2 linked regions of the Kluyveromyces lactis genome follow. The protein of the gene in region 1 interacts with the protein of each later gene in a pairwise test. Links are inferred from orthologs where the notes say so. Each region holds a gene or a part of one and is shown in the gene's direction. Other genes may lie near its edges.

What was found.
Region 2: the proteins of DSK2 (region 1) and PTH2 interact in binary tests that used the Saccharomyces cerevisiae proteins (3 or more experiments, as listed by UniProt). The link is inferred for Kluyveromyces lactis from reciprocal best matches to the Saccharomyces cerevisiae genes DSK2 and PTH2.

What each region holds. Positions count from the first base shown.
Region 1 is NC_006040.1:159,933-163,266, forward strand, and holds DSK2 (ubiquitin domain-containing protein DSK2), read left to right. Parts: upstream 1-1,695; coding exon 1,696-2,811; downstream 2,812-3,334. Other genes in the region: DAT1 (Dat1p), read right to left, coding at 304-1,074; KLLA0_D01881g (uncharacterized protein), read right to left, coding at 2,938-3,334. UniProt on the Saccharomyces cerevisiae protein: Involved, with RAD23 in spindle pole body duplication. Involved in the ubiquitin-proteasome proteolytic pathway.
Region 2 is NC_006041.1:1,781,903-1,784,699, forward strand, and holds PTH2 (aminoacyl-tRNA hydrolase), read left to right. Parts: upstream 1-1,361; coding exon 1,362-2,006; downstream 2,007-2,797. Other genes in the region: anthranilate synthase TRP2, read left to right, coding at 1-973; protein phosphatase regulator SHP1, read right to left, coding at 2,149-2,797. UniProt on the Saccharomyces cerevisiae protein: The natural substrate for this enzyme may be peptidyl-tRNAs which drop off the ribosome during protein synthesis.

The sequences.
Region 1 (3,334 bases):
TAGCAATGTGTGTTTACGCACTTCTGTGGGTTTGTCTAGTCGGTGTGTCTTGTGTTTCTCTCTGTTCCTCTAGATATGTCTCTTGTTCATCTTTTCCATAATGATAAGTTTATATTTACGGGCATGAATTAGATCTTTAAAGATGGAAACTGAACAACATTGTTAAATGAAAAGCTTGGCCAAAGATAATTAACGGTTGACCAAAAGCTCTGTGAAAAACGATGGATACTAATAATACGTTAAATATATGTACATTCAATACAATATAGTATAATATACAGATTGTTATACACATATGTCAGGTCAGTGAGAAGAGTTTAAGTCAGAAGGATGAGCTGAAGGGTTGTTCTGGTGCAATGATGAAGAAGAACTAGCGACTTGAGGCGGCGGCGTATTGGGCCACATGACACCTGGAATCTGCTGGTGAGAGTTGTTACTATTAAGTGAGTTTTGTTGTGAATGTATCTGTTGGTGCTGGTGTTGCAATTGCAGTTGGTGTTGGAGCTGCAGCTGGAGTTGGAGTTGATGCTGAAGCTGTTGCTCATGTTCTTGTCGCAGTGGGACATCCACCGAACCCCAGAACGACGAGAGCATGGGTAATTTAGCCGTCTGCATTGGATCAGGCGACTGTGGAGGTGATTTGCAACGTGAGAGCTTGTTCAAGGCGTCGATAAGTTCTCTATCTCGTTTCGATACTGGATCTGAATTCGAGCTTGAATTAGAACTCGAATTTGCGCTATCCGCTGTGCCCCGTTTCATTATACGGTGCGGAGCAGCATAGTGAGCCTGCCCGTTATGAAACTGTTGCTGCTGTTGAAGCAGCAAAGAAGTAGCCATAGCTATAGTTGGGGAAGAGGCAGACGACGATGAGTGGTCCATCCCGTAGTGCTGTGACGAGCTACGTGAGCGGCGCGTCCCACTACCAGTAGCATTAACAGCCCCATTACTGATTCCAAGGTTCTTAGACCCCTTCTTGCGCCCACTGCCGGGCTTCCGCCCTTCTGCCAAAGTCTTGGCTCGTCCAGGTTTACGTCCACTCCCAGGTTTCCGTCCATCACTCAGTTTTTTTGCCATTTCTTTCCGTTTCCGTACACACCTGGTATTCACCTGATATCCACCTGATATCTCTTACAAGATATTCACAGCTGAACCTGTCTGACTAACCCTCACTCCAGCTTCTCAAACTTAATCTAATTCCTTGCCTTGGTGTTGATCTCTGTGTTTCGTTTCGAAGCTTTTCGTTTCGATTTGAAATTAAATTTTTGGTGAAGCTGCGTCACGTGATTAAAACAAATCAGTTTTATACATGGCTGCAATACATGTAATACCTTCAAATCTATTGTTTCCGGCCGAAAAACCCCCATTTCAAGCGATTAACAGGTGCTAGTATCTACAAATATAAACTACTATAAAGTATCTTACCCAGGCTTATCAATAATGGCCCTTTACTTGCCATTCCTTCCCATTTTGAGTTCTCGTTTTCTCTGTCTTCACTTTTCGATCTTAATAAAATGATTTCAAAAGGAAATTTCAACTCAATTCCTTGTTAACTGACAACTTAAAGATACAGAAAAGCCAATGTTTGGTTGTAAACTTCAGGTTGTACCTTTGAAGACCGATCACTTTCTAAGTACTTAGTACCTTTCCCCCCTGTTTTGGCTGCTAGATATTAGCGAGAGTTTTTCAGTGTTAAAAATGTCACAGATTAGCGTTCATGTCAAGTCTGGACAGAACAATTGGACGGTTGAAATCGAAAGTGCTGCTACAATTCGTGCATTTAAGGAGACTATCAGTGGTGTAAGTGGTGTTCCTGCCGATAACCAGCGTTTGATTTATTCCGGGAAGATTTTGAAAGATACAGAGACCGTTGAATCTTACAAAATCCAGGATGGCCATTCTGTGCATATGGTGAAGTCTGGTGGTGCATCCGCTGCGACAACCGGCAGTACAACAACTGGCAGTGCAGCATCACCAGCTGCAACTAACTCAGCAGCTCCTTCCAACATTTCTGCTGGTCAGACTGGTGGATTTAACCCATTGGCTGATTTGACTGGTGCCCGTTATGCAGGTCTCGCCAATTTGCCCTCAGCTGATATGTTTGGTCCAGACGGTGGCCTGAACAGCAGTAACGGCGCCAATCCCGAATCCATGCTACAAATGTTAGAGAACCCCATCTTCCAATCTCAAATGAATGAAATGTTGAGTAATCCACAAATGGTCGACTTCTTGATCCAACAGAACCCCCAATTACAGGCTTTGGGTCCGAGAGCAAGAGATATGTTACAGAGCCCCTTCTTTAGACAAATGATGACAGACCCTCAGATGATTAGACAGTCAATGCAAATGGCCAACTCGATGGGTATGTCTCCAGATGGTGCCGCTTCTGCATTTCCTGCGCCAGGTAGTGCTAGTGGGGCTGGTGGGGCTAATGAAACTAGTACAAATGATGCCGATAGTGCAGCAACAGGTGCTGCAGCATCTTCAACAGGCCAAGCTAACCCATTTGCAGGTTTATTCGGTGCGACTCCAGGAAATGCCGCAGCAGCTAATCCCTTCGCTGGATTATTCCCAGGTGGTCAACAACCTCAGTTCAACCAAGAGCTTTTAGCTAGTATGTTCGGTGGGAACTCCAACGCCACCGGTGCTGCTCCAGCTGTAGATAACAGACCACCGGAAGAACGTTACGAGTCTCAACTCAGACAACTAAACGATATGGGATTCTTTGATTTCGATAGAAATGTTGCTGCTCTAAGACGTGCCGGAGGATCTGTCCAGGGTGCTCTTGACGCATTGTTGAACGGCGACGTGTAATGGTTTCCTTTGTATCCACTCCCCTCTAGGCCTTTGCTCCTGATGTGACCCATATCGCTTCGTATGCAATTGTATATCTATCATCATCTCAGTTATGTACTATTTGTATATTTAAAGCCTTCGGCATCACCATTTAGTGATAATCCTTTTCAACCGTGAGATTCTGCCTTGCATTGACTCATCAGGGATCTCGATCAGAGTATCATAGAGTAAGTCGAGAATAGTATCCTGATCATAATGTGAACTCCATTTAGGATGTCCGTTGAAATCGGAATTACACAGCACTTGCTTCACATCAACTGTTAAGTACGATCCAACACATTGTAAGATCCCAAAATCTGTTTCAGATTGACCATCAACGGGAGCGTATCCTCTAAGTAGCACATACAAAAGAGCAATATCCGAACTTTGTAAAGATTGATATCCAAACCATCCACAAAGCAGTTTGATCTTCTCTGGGAGCGGAAACCCCAGCTGCCATGACTTAAATCTATCAGATAACCCAGAATACCGCGCCCATTGG
Region 2 (2,797 bases), on another chromosome or scaffold:
GGAACAAGGTTACGAAGATGCATCTGAGATTATCAAACGCATTATCGCCATCTTGAAGGATGAATCTAGTCCGATACCATTACCTGAACAACCATCAATCAAATTGAACCAGACTTTCACATCAAACATTGGTCAAGAAGGATACGAACAGCACGTGAGAGATTTGAAAGAACATATCAAGAAGGGTGATATCATCCAATGTGTTCCATCTCAACGTGTCGCTAGACCAACTTCACTTCACCCATTCAATATCTACAAACACTTGCGTACTGTGAATCCCTCGCCATACTTATTCTATATCGATTATTTGGATTTCCAAATCATTGGTGCTTCACCTGAATTGTTATGCCAAGTTGATGCCAAAAACGAAGTTATCACTCATCCCATTGCTGGTACAGTCAGAAGGGGTCAGACTCCAGAAGAAGATGACAGATTAGCGGAAGAGTTGAGAAATTCTACTAAGGACAGAGCAGAACATGTGATGTTAGTTGATCTAGCCCGTAATGATGTGAACAGGGTCTGTGATCCAACCACCACTTCCGTGGATGAGTTACTTTCAGTGCAAAAGTTCTCTCACGTCCAACATCTTGTCTCTCAAGTCAGTGGTACACTAAGGAAGGATCAAAACAGATTTGATGCTCTAAGGTCTATTTTCCCTGCAGGAACAGTTTCTGGTGCTCCTAAGGTCAAGGCCATGGAATTGATCGGAGAACTGGAAGGTGAAAAACGGGGTGTTTACGCTGGTGCCGTTGGACACTGGTCATATGACGGAAAATCCATGGACACATGCATTGCCTTGAGAACAATGGTTTATAAAGACGGTATAGCCTATTTGCAAGCTGGTGGTGGTATCATATTTGATTCTGACCCATATGATGAGTACGTAGAAACAATGAACAAAATGAAAGCTAACCACAATACTATTCTACAAGCAGAGCAAATTTGGGCTGAGAAAGTTGGCACTCAAGACTAGCGCTGTATATGTCATATCCACTAATAGTTGAACCTGAACCTTTCCCGTTTCGTTCACAGTATGTATTCTATCGTGTATTCACATTAGACTTGTTATAGAATTGTAAAAAGGTAGCTTTAAGTGTACCATGGATGCACATATGAATGGATTAATGCCACTGGATAAATATACGAAAGGTAGGAGTAGGAATCTGGTGGTCTAAAGTACCAGCAGACGTCCTACTTCATACGTTTCTATCCAGCAGTTGCATATAATCTTTTCTTTAGGAAAATTTTACATTAAACCGATATATTCCAAGTGATGACAAGGAGATCACTGGCAGAGCATATTAAAGCAGAGGAAACTGACACTATCACTACAGCTACATCAAACCATAACTGCTATCCAGATGGCACCATCATCGTTGAATTTAGCAGTGTTGTTCACGCTGTCAGCATTATCTCTGACAACTGGATATTATCTTGGACAGATAACACCATCAAGGAAGGATGAGATACAAGAATTGTTGAAACAAGCGAAGATTAAGGCTGAGCGAGATGAGCAAGCGTATGCCAGTGAACATGACGATGGTGATGAGGACGAGGATGAAGACGAATCTGAGGATGAAGATGAAGATGAAGATGGCATTGCAGTAGATTCCATATGCCTAAATGACATTCCTGGTGAAGTAAGGATGGCCTTGGTTATCAGGCAAGATTTGGGAATGACTAAAGGGAAAATCGCTGCTCAATGTTGTCATGCTGCATTAGCCTGTTTTAGGCTTATTGCGTGTGATCCAAGTAGAACTTCATATAATCCGGAGATGACTCACAGATGGTTGGCAAGAGGTCAAGCAAAGATTACTTTAAAATGTCCAGATAAGGAAACAATGGATGAGCTCTTCGCTAAGGCTATTGCATTAGGAGTTAACTCATACGTTGTTCATGATGCTGGTAGAACACAAATTGCAGCGGGAAGTGCTACTGTTTTAGGTTTGGGACCTGCTCCGAAAGCAGTCCTTGACCAAATTACTGGTGATCTCAAGCTTTACTGATACTTCGATCTCTCAAATCGTTGGAATAATCATCGACTGCATAAACAACTCTATCCTGAAAATATAAGGATTTAGGTTGTCTCCGTATATTTAAACTTGTACATATGTAATAATCTTTGTAAAATTATACTATATTTAAGATTTATACCCATCTTTGGACCACCACTGCATTGCATAGGTCTTGATCTTTCAAAGTGGAGTCAAATTCGTCAATGGGTTTTACGGGAAATGCATGGCTTAGTGTAAATGGGCGCATTTCTGCTGTGTTAGCTTTAACATGCTGGTACAAGAATCTGATGGTATCTGTAGAGTTACAACGTAACACCTCCCTCTTCCCAGAAGCATATCTGATCTGTACACTAGTGTCTCCCTTTAGCTCGTCATCTGGCGATTTTTCTTTGATTTCAGTCCCTACTGGAGTAGATTCGGCAGGCGATGCTGATTGAGAGTTTACTGCATCACCAGGAATGGGTGAGCCCAATCTCTTACCTGTTCCTTGGAAGCCACTCACTTTTCTCTTAGGTGGAACGTAAGGCTCTTCCAACTTTTTATAGACCGTGACATCGACCTCTTGTCCGAATTCGACGTCCAATAACTGCAAAGGAGCTCTTCCTTGGTTTAGTTCTTTCAAATAGAAACTATTTTCTGGGTCGTCGTAACGATATAGTTTGCCATCACCGACTTGGAATCCATCTTTCCAAAACGTAATTTCCCTTGTCACTTTTTTAGGTTTTGATACGACCGGGGTATCATCCTCAACCACTGTTGGTGGAGCAGAAACATCGGATCCT